Coturnix japonica: one gene and its partners. The main gene of each other region encodes a partner of the protein of the gene in region 3 in a complex. Links are inferred from orthologs where the notes say so. Each region holds a gene or a part of one and is shown on either strand. Other genes may lie near its edges.

Evidence for each region.
Region 1: the proteins of MAPK1 (region 3) and DHPS are in contact, whole or in part, in a cryo-EM structure (PDB 8PVU), measured with the Homo sapiens proteins. The link is inferred for Coturnix japonica from reciprocal best matches to the Homo sapiens genes MAPK1 and DHPS. Residues at the interface, in NP_002736.3 of Homo sapiens: Tyr113, Tyr187, Ala189, Thr190, Arg191, Trp192, Arg225, Lys231, His232, Tyr233, Leu234, His239, Lys259; in NP_001921.1 of Homo sapiens: Arg159, Glu160, Asn161, Asn164, Asn173, Glu174, Tyr176, Cys177, Glu180, Asp181, Met184, Asp188, Asp243, Phe247, Tyr250.
Region 2: the proteins of MAPK1 (region 3) and DUSP6 are in contact, whole or in part, in a crystal structure (PDB 2FYS), measured with the Rattus norvegicus proteins. The link is inferred for Coturnix japonica from reciprocal best matches to the Homo sapiens genes MAPK1 and DUSP6. Residues at the interface, in NP_446294.1 of Rattus norvegicus: Glu79, Glu107, Thr108, Leu113, Gln117, Leu119, Asp122, His123, Tyr126, Phe127, Gln130, Thr157, Thr158, Cys159, Asp160, Tyr314, Asp316, Asp319; in NP_446335.1 of Rattus norvegicus: Arg64, Arg65, Leu66, Gln67, Lys68, Gly69, Asn70, Leu71, Pro72, Val73, Arg74.
Region 4: the proteins of MAPK1 (region 3) and PTPN7 are in contact, whole or in part, in a crystal structure (PDB 3D42), measured with the Homo sapiens proteins. The link is inferred for Coturnix japonica from reciprocal best matches to the Homo sapiens genes MAPK1 and PTPN7. Residues at the interface, in NP_002736.3 of Homo sapiens: Thr185, Glu186, Tyr187, Val188; in NP_001351807.1 of Homo sapiens: Arg124, Tyr125, Lys126, Ile128, Asp257, His258, Ser292, Ala293, Gly294, Ile295, Gly296, Arg297, Gln335.

The regions. Positions count from the first base shown.
Region 1 is NW_015439889.1:91,894-96,157, forward strand, and holds the start of DHPS (deoxyhypusine synthase), read left to right. Parts: upstream 1-1,443; 5' UTR 1,444-1,479; coding exon 1,480-1,725; intron 1,726-2,368; coding exon 2,369-2,533; intron 2,534-3,069; coding exon 3,070-3,191; intron 3,192-3,276; coding exon 3,277-3,373; intron 3,374-3,447; coding exon 3,448-3,534; intron 3,535-3,633; coding exon 3,634-3,739; intron 3,740-3,813; coding exon 3,814-3,917; intron 3,918-3,999; coding exon 4,000-4,125; intron 4,126-4,196; coding exon 4,197-4,264. UniProt on the Homo sapiens protein: Catalyzes the NAD-dependent oxidative cleavage of spermidine and the subsequent transfer of the butylamine moiety of spermidine to the epsilon-amino group of a critical lysine residue of the eIF-5A precursor protein to form the intermediate deoxyhypusine residue.
Region 2 is NC_029516.1:39,390,545-39,394,651, reverse strand, and holds the start of DUSP6 (dual specificity protein phosphatase 6), read left to right. Parts: upstream 1-1,251; 5' UTR 1,252-1,827; coding exon 1,828-2,230; intron 2,231-2,675; coding exon 2,676-3,113; intron 3,114-4,107. UniProt on the Homo sapiens protein: Dual specificity protein phosphatase, which mediates dephosphorylation and inactivation of MAP kinases. Has a specificity for the ERK family. Plays an important role in alleviating chronic postoperative pain.
Region 3 is NC_029530.1:397,252-400,811, forward strand, and holds part of MAPK1 (mitogen-activated protein kinase 1), read left to right. Parts: intron 1-1,564; coding exon 1,565-1,747; intron 1,748-3,305; coding exon 3,306-3,495; intron 3,496-3,560. UniProt on the Homo sapiens protein: Serine/threonine kinase which acts as an essential component of the MAP kinase signal transduction pathway. MAPK1/ERK2 and MAPK3/ERK1 are the 2 MAPKs which play an important role in the MAPK/ERK cascade.
Region 4 is NC_029541.1:737,160-740,454, reverse strand, and holds part of PTPN7 (tyrosine-protein phosphatase non-receptor type 7), read left to right. Parts: intron 1-903; exon of another isoform or gene 904-937; 5' UTR 938-998; coding exon 999-1,129; intron 1,130-1,242; coding exon 1,243-1,426; intron 1,427-1,685; coding exon 1,686-1,770; intron 1,771-2,162; coding exon 2,163-2,239; intron 2,240-2,918; coding exon 2,919-3,056; intron 3,057-3,295. UniProt on the Homo sapiens protein: Protein phosphatase that acts preferentially on tyrosine-phosphorylated MAPK1. Plays a role in the regulation of T and B-lymphocyte development and signal transduction.

The DNA of each region.
Region 1 (4,264 bases), on a different chromosome or scaffold from region 3:
ACAAACCCCACAGCAGCGCAGTGTTGGCGCTGGCAGCCGATGACCGTCTCATCGTATCTGGGAGTGAAGACCGAACCCTGGTGGTCATCGACCGCCGTGCTGACGGCATCCTGCAGCGCCTGCAGGTGGGGCTGACCCCCAAGTGTGGGGCTGGGGGCTCCATCCGCCTCACATTATTCACGCCTTGGGGGCTGATAATCAATGTTTGAAGGCTGGATTTGGGGTTTGGGGTGCAGCACTGTTCCCCATCCCACTTTCTCCCCACAATGTTGCAGCACCGCTTGCCCCATAAGCCCGTGTTTTGCCCCACAGCTGCAGCATTACCTCCTCTCCATGTCATATCGGGGGACGCAACTCTGGGCTGGGGACAACCAGGGCCGGGTCCACGTCTTCGGGAACAGCGACGGCCACTTCCGAGCGGAGCGGGTATAAAGCCACATATAGGGCTGGGAGGGGGGTCTTTGGGGCCGTACCCCTCCCCTCAATGCCCCCATTGCAGCGCTTCGACGTGGGACACCGCCTGCAGATCACGGGGCTGTGGCAGAATGCAGGATCTTTGTACACCACCTCCACCGACCGCACCATGCGGGTGAGGGACCCCAACCTCACGTGGCGACCCCCCCACCCCACACTGGGATTGAGGGGTTGGGTTGTGTGAGGCTGGCGAGGTGCCTCCCCCCCAATTCCCATAATATCTTAATGGGGGGAGGAAGAAATGGCGTCTCTCTGTTACAGATCCACGTCCCCACGGACCCCCCCCGCACCATCTGCTCCTGGACGCACGATGATGTTCTCAATGGGGTAAGGGCTGGGGTCACATTTTCCCTCCTGGACGCCCCGTTGTTCCCACCCTCTCCTGATCTCCACCATTTCCCCCAGATCAGCGTCGAGGGCGACGTGGTGGCAGCTGCCTCCGGGGGGCTCTCGGTGGAGGTCTGGAAGTTTGGAGGCTGAATGTGGCTGTGACCCCCCCCAGGAATGGGGGCTTTGCCCCTCAACCCTCCTCCCCCCTTCCCATGGCCAGAGATGGGGACCCCCTGGGGGGCAGAGGGGTCCCAATGGACTCAGAGGGGCCCGTTGTGCAGGAATTAAAGGGATTTGGCTGGAGGTGTGTGGCTGTGGTGTGTCTTTGTGGGGCAGAGTGGGGTCAGGATGTGGGGGGGTTTGGGGTCAGGATGTGGGGGGGTTTGGGGTCAGGATGGGGGGGTTTGGGGTCAGGATGGGGGGGTTTGGGGTCAGGGTTTGGAATTGTGGGGGTTAGGAGTGGGCCTAGATTCGGGGATTGGGATTTAGAGGCAGATTACGGCGGGATTTGGGGTTTAAGAGGTTCAGGGTTTGGGTTTTCGACAGAGCTCTCCACCGTTTGACGCTTCGCTTTCTGGCGCCTTTTGACCCACTGCGGCCACCGTTTCCTCTTCAAGATGGCGGCGCTCCGACGTACTGCGCCTCCACCGCGCAGGCGCAGGGGGGCGGCCCAAGATGGCGGCGCCCATGGGGCCCACGGAGCTCAGCGGCCCCGCGGAGGAGCCGCCGTCGGGGGAAGCCCCGGCCGCCGCCCTGCACGCGGTGCTGAAGCGCAGCGCCCCGCTCCCCGCTCAGACGCTCCCGGTTCGCGGATACGACTTCGCGGACGGCCCCGACCCGGGCGCGGTGCTGCGCTCGTTTCTCACCACCGGGTTCCAGGCCACGAACTTCGCGCGCGCCGTCGCCGAGATCCGCCGCATGGTGCGGGGGGGCGGCACCGGCACCCCCCCCCCTTACCGGATCCGTCCCCCCCTTACCGGTTCCATTATCCCCCCTTACCGGTTCCATTACCACCCCCTTACCGGTTCCGTTTCCCCCCGCCTTTACCGGATCCATTATCTCCCCCCTTACCGGTTCCGTTTCCCCCTTACGGTTCCATTATCCCCTACCCGGATTCCATTATCTCCCCCCTTACCGTCCATTATCGGCCCCTTACCGGTTCCATATCACCCCCCCTTACGCTGGATCCATTACCTCCTTACCTGATCCATTATCCCCCCTTACGGTTCGCATTTCCCGCGCCCTTATCGGGTCTATTATCTCCCGTAATACGTTCCATTACCCCCCTTACCGTTCCCATAGTCCCCCTCTTCACCGGTTCCGTTTTCCCGCCCCCTTAACTGAATCATTATCCCTGCCTCTGTACCGGTTTCCGTTTCCCTACCCCCTACCGGATCGCATTAATCCCCCCTCTTACCGGTTCCGTTTTCCCCCCCTTACCGGAATTTTTCCCCAAAATTTTTTTACCCCCCCTTACCGCGGATCCATTACCCCCCCTTACCGGTTCCATTACCCCCCTTTACCGGTTCCGTTTCCCCCCCCCTTACCCGGTTCCGTCCCGTAGATCGCTGCCAAGATGGAGCCGCTGAGCGCTGCTGAGCGCAGCCGGGCTGAGCTGGGGGGCGCCGCGGGGGCGGCTTCGGGCTGCACCATCTTCCTGGGCTTCACCTCCAACCTCATCAGCTCCGGGGTGCGGGAGAGCATCCGCTTCCTCGTGCAGCACCGCATGGTACGGGGGCAACGGGGGTAACGGGGGTAACGGGGGGTAACGGGGGGTAACGGGGATACAGGGTGATATGGGGGGGGGTCCTCAGTTTGTTAGCCACCCCCCCAGTCAATTGCTGGGGTCCTGGGGGAGCTCACAGAGGGGTCCTGGGGTACAGAGATGGGGTAGAGAGTTGTGGGGGGTTCCTCACATTGTTGAGCCCCCTCCCCAACCCTCGGGGGTGGTAACGGGGTCCTGGGGCACCTTGGGGCAGTGTGTGATGGTACGGGGGGACTGCGGGGAGGCTGTGGGTGTGGTTTTGGGGGAGGGGGTTGGAGCCTGGGGGTTCCCCTCTGATGTGGGTGGGGGGTCCTGGGGTCCCTGTGGTGTCCCAGTGTCCCCAGGGGTTCTAGGGGTCCCTGACGTGTCCCCAGGGGTCTCTATGCTGCCCCCAGTGCTTTGGGGCCGCACTGGTCTCAGTACCTTGGGGGAGGGGGTCTTCAGCGCTGGCCCTGAGGGCTCCCTGAGCCCCCCCCCCACTCTTGCCCCCCTCTGGGCAGGTGGATGTGGTGGTGACAACAGCGGGCGGTGTGGAGGAGGACCTCATTAAATGCCTGGCACCCACCTACGTGGGGGACTTCAGTCTGCGGGGCCGGGAGCTGCGGCAGAACGGCATCAACCGGTGTGGGGACACCCGGGGGGAGAGGAAACCGGGGGGGGGATGTATGGGGGGGTATGAAGATGTCTGAGCACAACCCTCCCCCCAGGATTGGAAACCTGCTGGTGCCCAATGATAACTACTGCAAGTTTGAGGATTGGCTGATGCCCATCTTGGATCAGATGGTGGAGGAGCAGGAGACAGAGGTGGAGCTGGGAGGTGTGGGGGGGAACGTGGGGTCACTGGGGGGTGGATGTGGGGTCACCTGTGGGTCCCACAGGGCGTGAGGTGGACGCCATCACGGATGATCGCACGTTTGGGGAAGGAAATCAACAACCCCGAGTCAGTGTGTTACTGGGCTCAGAAGGTATGGGGGCATCTCTGCCAGCGTCTATCCTGGGGGGGGGGTCCCCACACTCCCATGGGGGTCCCCGTGCTCCCCTGTTGTCACCACATCCTCCCCCAGAACAACATCCCGGTGCTGAGCCCAGCGCTCACTGACGGCTCTTTGGGGGATATGATCTTCTTCCACTCCTACAAACACCCGGGGTTGGTGCTGGACATCGTGGAAGGTGAGTTTTTTCCCCATGGTGGGGGGGGGGATGACAGCAGGACCCCTCCTGGTGACAGCTGTACCCCCCCACAGACCTAAGGCTCATCAACACGAGGGCCATCTTTGCCCGCAAGACAGGGATGATCATCCTGGGGGGGGGACTGGTAAAACACCACATCGCCAACGCCAACCTGATGGTGAGGGGGGGGCTGTGGGGAGGGGGATTAGGGGGGCTGGCAACTGGGGACAGTGCCCTCATTGTGCTCCCTCTCCTTGCAGAGGAACGGTGCCGATTTCTCCGTCTATGTGAACACAGCTCAGGAGTTTGATGGGTCTGACTCTGGGGCGCAGCCGGATGAGGCTGTTTCGTGGGGGAAGATCCGAATGGACGCCACGCCAGTGAAGGTGAGGGCACAGGGAGGGGGTTTGGGGGGTGCTGGGGGGGACGCGAGGGTCTCCCTCTCCCTCTCCTGCAGGTCTATGCTGATGCTTCGCTGGTTTTTCCGCTGCTGGTGGCGGAGACGTTTGCACAGAGAGCAGCTGA
Region 2 (4,107 bases), on a different chromosome or scaffold from region 3:
AAAATGCCCTGAAGATGACAATCAGAATGTATTTTCTTCCTAAAATATTATAGTCATCAAGGAGGCAAGTTTTCCTTATATGAATGTGGAAGCATTTGATAGAAATACACATCTACATATATCTTAGTTGAGATGATATTTTGATTGTTTTTTTCAAACCCAAACTCTGAAACACGACTCATCTTGTCTGTGGTGTTAAAAAAAGGAATCAATGCACACTGTAAGCCACGTCAATTAATAACATGGACTACGAACAGCAAATTGCATTTTATCATTGCATCGAGCCAGCTGGGACTTGCCACAGTGTTATACTGAAATTGTCTCCATCTCCATCTCTCGGGCCATCACTTGATATCACACTTGTTTGTTTTCTAGATGGACCTATTATTTTTACAGCGCCAGCTCCACAGAGTTGGCCGTCACAGCCAAACCATTTACCTGCGCTGAGCACAGCCAGCGCTCAGGGACGGGACAAGCTTTACAGAACGCTTTCCAGCCTTTCATCTTGGCAGCACGGGCTCTGTCACAACCCCGCTGCGGTGCCACCTTAGTGCCACGTCCCATCAGCATCACGCGTGCCGGCAGCGCGGGGAACGCGGCCGCCTTACGAGCGGGATTAGCCCCCGCGGAACGACGTTACCCCCGCGCCGGCAGCGGGATTAGCGTCCAGGCCGGGCTTCTCCCGGGTTATTTTCGCTGCTGGCTTTTCACTTACCCCCGCGGCTAAGCCGCTCCCGGTCTCGCCCCGCCGCGCCCCCACGTCCTTCCGCTGGCAGCGGCGGGCTGGGGGGCGCCGGGACCGCGTCCGCGGACGGCAGAGGGGCGGCACGACGCGGAAAGCCGGGGTGGGGGGGAAGCAGCGGGGCGAGCCGGGAGCTCACCCTGCGTGAGGATCAGCTGAGGACAGGGCCGGCAGCCCGCCCCTCGTGACAACGGAATCCCCCCTTCTTCCCCCCAGCGCCCTGGCTCGGAGCGGCGGTCGGGGGGGACGTGGGGCTGAGGGAAGGGGCGCGGGGGGCAGGAAGGGGGAAGGGGGCCAGGAAGGCGCCGCCGGAGCCCCGCGGAGAAGCGGCGGGGCCGGGCCCGGGCCGCGCCCCCTCACCTGCCCCCGCCGCCCCCACCCGCTGCGCCGCGGCCGCCGCTTGTTTGCACTCGGCTTATCCGGAGCGGAAATTCCTTTCCGTTTTTGTGAATGACAAACTCATTAACAATTCATCAACACAACCTGTTCCAGCCGGCCCGTCGCCGCGGCAACAGCCCCTTCCGCGAGCCCCCATTGGCTGCGCCTCAGAATGTCTCCATTGAGCGCGGCGAGGCCGAGCCCATTGAGAGCCGCTGGGTGAGAGGAGACAGCGCTCCGGGCAGCGCCGGCACCGGGGCGGGAGGGAGAGAGAGAGGGAGGGAGCAGCCCCGCTCTGCGCCGAGCCGGGCAGCTCCGCTCGGAGGCACGCTAATTGGATTTCATTCACTCAGGGCGGAGGAAAAGCCCAAGGGCTCGGGCTGCAGCGGCGATTAGGCAGGTTCATTCAGGGATTCATTGACAAAAAAAAAAAAGAGAGAGAACGGGCAGCAGGCAGCGCGCACGCACACGGAGCCGCACACACACACACATAGATAGACACACACAGACACACACACACGCAGCCGCTGCTCCCTCCCGTGGCTCCGCCGCCCGGCGCGGGGGAGGCGCGGGGGGGCTGCGTGATTCACTTCCCCGGGGCGGGGGGAGATAAGTTGTGCGGAGTTGCGGGGCCGCAGCCCGACCGCACGCCCCTGTGAGAGCGAGGGGCGCTTCCCGAGCCCGCTCTGCGCCCCCCGTCCTTCCTCATGCTAGATACGTTCAGACCCGTCTCTTTCGCGTCGGAAATGGCGATTAGTAAATCCGTGGCGTGGCTGAACGAACAGCTGGAGATGGGCAACGACCGGCTGCTGCTGATGGACTGCCGACCTCAGGAGTTGTACGAGTCGTCCCACATCGAGACGGCCATCAACCTGGCCATCCCCGGCCTGATGCTCCGCCGCCTCAAGAAGGGCAACCTGCCCCTGCGCGCCCTGGTCGCCAGCAGCGAGGAAGACCGCGAGCGCTTCGCCCGCCGTTGCGGCACCGATACGGTGGTGCTGTACGACGAGCACAGCCGCGACTGGAACGAGAACACGGGCGGCGAGTCCGTGCTGGGGCTGCTGCTCAAGCGTCTGAAAGACGAGGGCTGCAAGGCGTTCTATCTGGAAGGTGAGCGAGATTCTACGGTTCTGTCGGAAGGGACCGGGTGGGCCCGGGCACTGCGCGCTGATAACCCGGGTAGGGGCTTCTTCCTCTCCTCGCTTTGTTTAAAGGGGCCCCGGGGGCTGGAGGGCTGCGATGGGGAGCGGGAAGGACGGACAGACGGTCGAACAAGCGGACCGCCGTCCGCACAGCGCCCCGCAGCGCGGAGCGGCTCCGGGCTGTAATCCCGGGCGCTCTGAGCCTCACGCCGCAGCGGGAGATTTTGCTAAACCTTCATTTGGGTCAGTCAGTCCGTCTGCTGACACTGTGGCGTTTTCCTTTTTTTTTTTTGCCTGAGACTCGAGGAGGTGGGGAAACAGATGTCCCTTTGCACACTGAGCTCTCCCAGGCTTGCCGTGCTATATGTATATCTATCAGGTTGCGATTTTTTCCCTCTTGCTTTCCTCCCTAGGTGGTTTCAGTAAGTTCCAGGCCGAGTTTGCCCTGCACTGCGAAACGAACCTAGACAGCTCATGTAGCAGCAGCTCCCCTCCTCTGCCCGTCTTGGGCTTGGGAGGCCTTCGAATCAGCTCAGATTCTTCATCGGACATCGAGTCTGACATTGACAGAGACCCCAATAGTGCCACCGACTCGGATGGCAGCCCGCTCTCCACGAACCAGCCTTCCTTTCCCGTGGAGATCTTACCCTACCTCTACTTGGGCTGTGCCAAGGACTCCACGAACCTGGACGTTTTAGAAGAGTTTGGCATAAAATACATCTTGAATGTTACCCCCAACCTGCCCAACCTCTTTGAAAACGCCGGCGAGTTCAAGTACAAGCAGATCCCCATCTCAGACCACTGGAGCCAAAACCTGTCTCAGTTCTTCCCCGAGGCCATCTCCTTTATAGGTGAGACCCTGTTCTTTGCCAGCAGCTCCGTGGTGAGCAGCAGAACCCCCCTATGCCTTTCTCAGAAATCAAACAGATTTCGGGTGAGAAGCGGGAGCAGCGTTTCTCCCAGTCTCTGGGGGATGATGCTCCGCTTTCTGATCTTTAATTTCATTTATTTATTTATTTATTTATTTATTTAAGCCGGCTTAAAGGGGTGAAGGTTTGTTGAGGGGAAGTGTGCCTTGTGCAGGCTGCAGCTGCATACCTGGCCTGGTGCTGGGAATTCCTCTCTGAGCCGCCTGAGTGGAAGCTGGGGACTGAGCAGTGCTCAGGATGGGGTTATTTTTAAATCTCCTCTTAGGGGAGAGGGATAAGGCAAATGAGCCCCGAGCTGGTGGTGGCTTATACGTCTTTTGTTGTTTCGTTGGCTTTTTTTTTTTCTCTTGCTTTTTTCTTTTTTTTCTTTTTCCCTTTCTTGAGGTTACTGGAGAGCAGCATAATGAAAAGAAACATTCCGGGGATCTAAGTTTAGCTTTTAAATGCAAGTTACTCATAACTGGCAAATGTATAGTAAGGGCTTTAATTAAATCCCACGGTAATAATGATCTACCTCTCGGGCGCCGTGCCCCGGCCCTGTGCCGCTATCCGCCGGCTCTGGGAACGCTCTCCCGTGGGTTCGAAGCGTCCGCTTTCGCCTCCCCGTCAGCTGGGGGAGGGCTGAGATCGGGGTGCGGTGGGGTGAGCACCGTATTATCTGTTGGGAAGCTGTGCTGTAATCCGGTTGAATGATACCGGTAATAGTGGAGAATGTAGGTAATCTGAGCCCAGCAGGAAGAAATGTGGGCTGGAAGCCACAAAGAAACTAATCTCCAGGCATTGTAATGCATTTCCTATTTCAAAGGAACCCATTTTCAACCAATGTTGACATCCTGTTCCTCCTAATGGGCTGTCCCCTGTGACTTCCCTCATTCTTTTTAAATGCCTGAATACCTCCATTGTTAGCTGCACAACA
Region 3 (3,560 bases):
AAGCAGCACCAAGTTGTACTTGTCAGGCATTTTGCAGTCACCTACTTTTCGTAGCTCCTGCCTGATACGTGGTGGTTCTTCACATAGGCTCCAGTCAATACAAAGAAGAGAGTAAGCTTGTTTAAAACAATCAAATAATCTATAAGACTCCTTTGTTTTATTCCCAAGTACAGGCTGTTTGTGCTTAAGAGTTTCTAGCTCTGTTTTCTGCTGGTGACTTCCCGTTCTGGCCTGCTGGAAACACCCCATCAGCTCAGAGAGCAGCCGCTGGGGAGGTGGTGTTTTGTTGTTTGGTTTGGGACTTGTGGGCTGCTGATGTGTTGGATACACATATGTACTAACAGCAGGTGTCATGAATGCTTAGTGCAGGGAATTCTGGAGCACGTGTGGAGCACTGGAGTTCAGTGTTGCCAGAGGCATGTAACATTTGCATGTGGTCTGTGCTTATAGATGAGTTACAGGTCTGAGCAGGTCAAAGTGATTCTGGGAGGAGGGAGAAGTAAAAGGGGTGTATTTTCTTGTGAAATGGCTGAGGCCAATAAATGTGAAGTATGGGCTTGATAAGCATTTTTAAAGAATTCTGGAGATTGCAGTAGCGAATAAGAAGAAATTTGAAAGGAATAAGAAATCATGAACACATTTAAATTCTAATTATATTAAAAGCATATGGTAATGTAATTAAAGAGAAATTATTATAATAATTGCCATTCATATAAACAAGACCTTAAAGAACATCCTGGAACAGCCGTGTAACCATTCTTTCCTTTTCACTCAGTAATAACTTGAGGCTGTGGTTTGGAGAGCTGTGCTTCCGCAGAACCTCATGGCTGGGCTGGGGCAGTGACGTTCCCTGGGAGTGGGTGGGAATTCAGAGCAGGAGGCCGGAGCTCCTGTGTTGGTGTAGCTCTGAGTGCTGCCCTGTGCTTCTTACTTTGGCGTGCTCTCAGTGTGGCCTTGGTGTGTTTGCTGATGCTGGGCACCATCACGTGCTGCGGCACAGCACTGCTCCTTGCTTTCGCTAAATGAGGGTGTTTATTTTCTGGAACTGTTGTCTTTGGAATTGAAATGGGAGGAGTCCTCACAAGTTCCCCATTCCCTTGTTCATGGAGGTGCAGAAAATGCAGTTCAGTGGAGGAGTGAGATGTGGGGTAGGATTCTGCTGCTTGAAAGACGACTTCTGAGAGCGTTTCCAAAGTGAATGGGTTTGCCGAGGATTCACTTCTTGCCTAAAATTGCTTCTTGATCACAGTGTACAAGAAAAGAGTCAAACTTACTTTTTCCACGGGGTGATGAAGGAGGTGAACGTGCCTGTCTTTGTTCAGGTCCTTGGGATTCGGCAGACTAAAAGTTGGCTGCCAAAGGTCATGACTTGTAGGTACCCAAATATGTTGAAGAAAAATATTGTTGCGGTGTCATCAAATTAAAAGATACTTGTACTGTCTCCTTCATTTGATAAAAATAAATGTAAAAACAAGTGGGCAGTCTCTGTGTTCTGTAGAATTAGCATTCTTGCTTTCTTAATCGAATGGATAAATTTTAACATGTATTATTTATTCTGTTCTAGTTCTGCCTATGATAACGTCAACAAGGTTCGAGTTGCTATAAAGAAAATCAGTCCTTTTGAGCATCAGACGTACTGCCAGAGAACTCTGAGAGAGATAAAGATCTTACTGCGCTTCAGGCATGAGAATATTATCGGAATAAATGATATTATCAGAGCTCCAACTATTGAACAAATGAAAGATGTGTATCCTTTCAAAATCTGTTATGCTTAGTGATACCTCCTTCTCTGCTTTCCTCAATTCGTCCTTATCCTTACTAAATTTTAATAAGCTGGCTTTTATTATTTTAAACAGGAGTGGAAGTTTGTAGTGTTTGATGGATTTGCCAGTGTGTTAGTAGGTAGGTTTGGTGCCTGGGTGAGTGTCAGTTTTGTTTGGGTTTTTCCACATTTAAAAAAAATATTCCAAGGCAAAGAACTCAGTGTTCATTTAGACCAGTCAGTCTTTGAACTACAGTCACTTTATGCAGAACCTTTGTTACAACTATCAGGTTGCTTCAAGGAGAAAATGGAATGGTAAAGCTCTGCTGTAACTGTCTAAGATTTTCCTAACGAATGGAAAGGATCCATTTTGGGGGAGGGGATAAATGAGGCCAAACATCCCTCCCCCCTTACTCTAGCCCTGCAATGCTTCTTGCATGTATGAAGTCTGAAATGACACACGAGCTGGTAAATGTGTGCTCGTTGTTGGCTTCATGTGTCTGTCTAACCTTGTGGCTGTCACAGCTGAGAGGCTCTGCCTGTGATACCAACCTTAGTTTGGAGTCAACTCGCATCATTTCACTAAGTCTGTATATCTAGTTTCCTGTTGGCTTCCCAGATTTTCACAGATGTCTGCCTGTTTAAAAGCACAGGGCATTGAACTGAATCTGGGTCAAATGTTCTCACTTCGTTAATTAGCAGTGTGCTTTTTCAGCTCAGTCTTCTGTGGCCACTGGCTGCTGTCAGTGTGTGCTCTTGAAAAGGTGTCCTGGTTGTGTGGTGTGATCTGAGCATGCAAAGGATGGGATGGAAATGCCCAGCTGAGACGGCAGTAGAAGTGTTTGGTGTTTGGGGCTGTGGGTTTGTTAGTTTTTTTTAATCCTGTTTTGGTGGAAAACGGTCATGGAACTACGCCCCAGGAGTTCTGGAGCTGAGTTGAATTAAAGGAAAGGAAATTTTTGGCTCAATTCATTTTTGTCAAAGCAGAATAAAACCCTTTATGTTAATTTCAGTCTTGGGAAAGAAAATATGATGGAAGGTACTACGATTTAATTTGAGCACAAATAGTCCTTTGCTTACCAGTATAGCATGATAAACATGTAGTAAAGGAGAGCATTTTGAAAGTGCCAGAGACAGATCAGAAGTGATTGGATTTTCCACCTTGAAGCTTTTGTGCAGCAGGAAGCAAATATCTTGGCTTATTACTCATGAAATGAAAACAACTTCTATTTCTTGGCAAGCAGGATAGAAAGCATTAACTGTAAGATTCCAATATAGATTAGTCTCTAATGTAAGGAAATAGTTTGATTATCTTGGGGGGACCACATGCTGGTGCCTCTTAATTCTCTAAGGGTCTCTATCATGTATCAGGATTGATTTGATTAGAAGTCCGTAAAGCAAGTAGTTCCAATTGTTGTGAAGCAAATAGAAGAAGACAAAAAACAAAAAACAAAAAGGTGTTAGAAGTTTTGTTTGGTACTGGGGGTTAATATGTAACATGCCACCAGCTTTGTTTTGCTGCCTTACATCTGATGCCTTACAGATACATTGTGCAAGACCTTATGGAAACAGATCTTTACAAGCTCTTAAAGACTCAACACCTCAGCAACGACCACATTTGTTATTTCCTTTACCAGATTCTGAGAGGGTTAAAATATATCCATTCAGCCAATGTGCTTCATCGTGACCTCAAACCTTCAAATTTGCTGCTTAACACCACTTGTGATCTCAAGGTTAGTGGAAATTTCTTAAAAATGTTCCTATGGTCTTCATCAGCTACATAACTGCTATAACTGAA
Region 4 (3,295 bases), on a different chromosome or scaffold from region 3:
GTCCTCCTGAGTGACTTCAGCTCGGCTGGGGCCTCTCCCAGGTGTTTCCTGGGTGATACTGGGGTCCCGGCCTGCCGCTCCCAGCTATGAGGGGTGCCCATGGAGGACAGATGTGGGATCAGCCAGGATTTGACCCTGAGTGCTTCATTTCGTGCCCCGATGTGTTCCCACCCTGTACAGCCATGGCCATGCTGTGATCCTACCTGCCCCAGCCCCAGCTTCATCTGTGCCCAGTTCTCTGCAGGGCTGTCCCTGAGCCTCCAGGGCATTTGGTACCCTGCTCTGTGCCTACTGAGAGCTCTGACCTTGCAGCATCTCCATCCCATTGGGTCCATCTCTCCTCACAGAGGAAGCTGGGGAGGAGAAGGAACTTTGCCACCCTGAGCTGCTGCCTTCACCATGGGGACCTCTACCCGAAGAAGAACCAGCATCACCCCCATCTCCCTGCCAGGGGCTGCTTGGGGCTGCTGGTGGTGGAGTCCTGGCAGCCTCCTCTAGACAAACCACCCCATCACATCTTGCTCAACCATTCAGATAGAGCAGTTTCCTCTTAACAGTTTGCTGATACTTGTGGGATGCAGGAGACTGTCCCAGGGCTATTTCCCCCATCCCAGTATGTCCAAACAATAGGATCTGGCCATGACCCTCACAACGTCCTCCTCTGCTCCTCATCCCTGGGGTCTGCTGCTCTCCATGTTAAGATGGAGATGCCATCCCAACCCATCCAACCCAAAGTTCCTTCCTCCTGGTGCTACAGGCACTTTCTCTGTGCCACCCGCGGATGCTGGAGCCAGGGCAATGAGGACCCAAAACACTTCCCCTGCTTAGGGATTTTCTCATTCTGGTCCAGCGAGGGGTTCACCAGCCTCCTTGTGTCTCTCTCATCTGCCCTGTGTTTTCCAGACACTTCTCTGATGGCAACTTCTTCCCTCAGCAGCTGAGGCCCCCCCTTTTCCACTGCTCGTACTTCAGAGCAAGTGCTTCGTGGCTGCTGCAGCATGGTCCAAGCCTGCACAGTGTGCCACAGAGCTCATAACAGCAGCCTGACAGCCCGGGTGGCCACCAAAACCATGGACAAGGCGGACAAGCCCAGTCCCTCTGTGAAGAAGCACGTACGGCTCCAGGAGAGGTGAGCACAGCCAGACTTTGCACTGCCCAGCCCTAAAGCACAGCCTCCCAAACTCCCCTTCTCTGGCCTATGAGCTGTCAGGGCTCACTGGGGACCCTTTGCCTCCTTTGCAGGAGGGGCTCCAACGTGTCGCTGGTGCTGGACATGAGCTCACTCGGCAGCGTGGAGCCCATCCAGCCCGTATGCACACCACGGGACATCACGCTGCAGTTCCTGAGGACATCCAGCCACGTGCTGAGGACAGAGGAGTTGCAACAGCGTGCCCAGAGCCTTGCACAGCTCCAGGAGGAGTTCTCGGTATGAGGGTGGGTGTGCAGGTGGAGGGGCACTGAGCATCTCCTGTTTGACAGCAACTTGCTCTCCATTGTGTTGGTGGAAAGCCTTCCTGTGCCAAGCTCTGCTCCCATCCATGAGGTGTCCCACCCCATTGGGGTGTGGATGGAGCTCACGCCAGCTCTGGTGATGCTGGGTCAGAGTCTCACTGCCTGCTGTGCCCGGTGAGGAGACACGAGCAGCACCAAGAGGGATTCCTCAAAGTTGTTCTCCCCTGCTGCAGAAAATCCCACCCAACTTCATCAGTCCGGAGGAGCTGGAGATCCCTGGACACGCCTCCAAGGACAGATACAAAACCATCCTCCCCAGTACGTGCCACTGCGTTCCTTCGTCTCACATTCCTCCATGTGCAGGGATATGTGTGTGCTGTGGGTGTCCCTGGTGTATCCTGGTGTCCCTGCTGTGCTGGTTCTGCTGCTGGCAGTTGCCTTGCAGGGGTGTAAGCCCAGCAATGGGGCAGTTTGTGGGGAGCTTCTTGGGGCATAAAGCACATCACAGGCCAGCCTGTGCTGATCCCTGCTCCATGTGGCCTTAAACATCCAAATTGGGAGGTGTAAAGGGTGAGAAATTGGGTCATCTTCAAGCACTGCGGGAAGGATGCAGGGGGCTGGTGCCGGCAGATGTGAGCATGGCATGGAGCTGGGTGGGAGAGCATGGCTCTGAAGGACAATCCCAGGGCACCTCTCACTGCCTCTTTCAGATCCTGAGAGCCGAGTGTGCCTCAGGAGGGCAGGGAGCCAGGAGGAAAACGGCTACATCAACGCCAACTACATCACGGTGAGCACACTGCCTGCTGGGGGGCACTTGGTGTCCCATATCTCATGGTACTGCAGGGCTGGGAGTGCTGGAGCTCTTGGTTTCTGCCCAGATAAGGTGTGTGGAGTGTGACATAGGCTGTGGAATATGGCTGAAGCTGGCTTACATTTAGCAGTGTGATTTTTGAGTGAGCAGAGCACTTGAACACGCTCCCTCCCAGATAATTCTCCATCGCCATGCACTAGTCAGTTGTCATGTGCAGGAAGCAAGCTGTGCCAATGGAGCACACCAGCCTGGTACCGACACATCCAGAAACTGCCTCTCCCCTCAGGGGGTTTGTTTCAATTCCCCAAAAAGAAAAAGGGGTGACTGTGGCTTATCTCCAGCATCCAATGAGGTCCCCAGATAGATGTCCCCAGACCCAAGGTGACTGTTGGTGTCCTCACAGCAATAACCTGGGGGTGCTTGGATGGAGCATGGGTGCACAGGACTCCATAGGCTTGCTCCTGGTTTGCTGGTCTAGGAGGATGGAGAGGACTCCTGGCAGTCCCTGGCTGGCTCTGTGAAAGGATTTCAAGGGCACGTTTGGGAGGAAATAGACAGTGTAGGTCAGGCTCTCTGCTGCAGAGGACAAGCAGAGCTGGGGGGCTGAGGTGCAGACCAGGTGCCCCCTGTCCCTGAAGGGCTGTGTGCTCGGCAGGGCTATGCAGGACGTCCCCGGGAGTACATTGCCACTCAGGGACCCATGCTGAACACCGTCAGTGACTTCTGGAGAATGGTGTGGCAGGAGCAATCTCCCATCATCGTCATGATAACCGAGCTCCAGGAGCGCAAGGAGGTACTGCTGTCCCTGCTCTACAGCACCCTGACCTGGAGGGGGTGGGTAGGGAGAATAACAGCAGCAGTGGGATGGTGTGAGATCAAAGGTGGGGCTGAGCTTTGCCCTCAGAGGGCACCTTCTTGGAGGAGAGTCCCTGGGCTGCAACTTGGACCCCATCTAGCAAAGCCTCCTCTTCTCCATCAACTTCACTTGCTCTGGATGTGCTTTGCTAGATGAATAATAGGATAAAAAGAAAC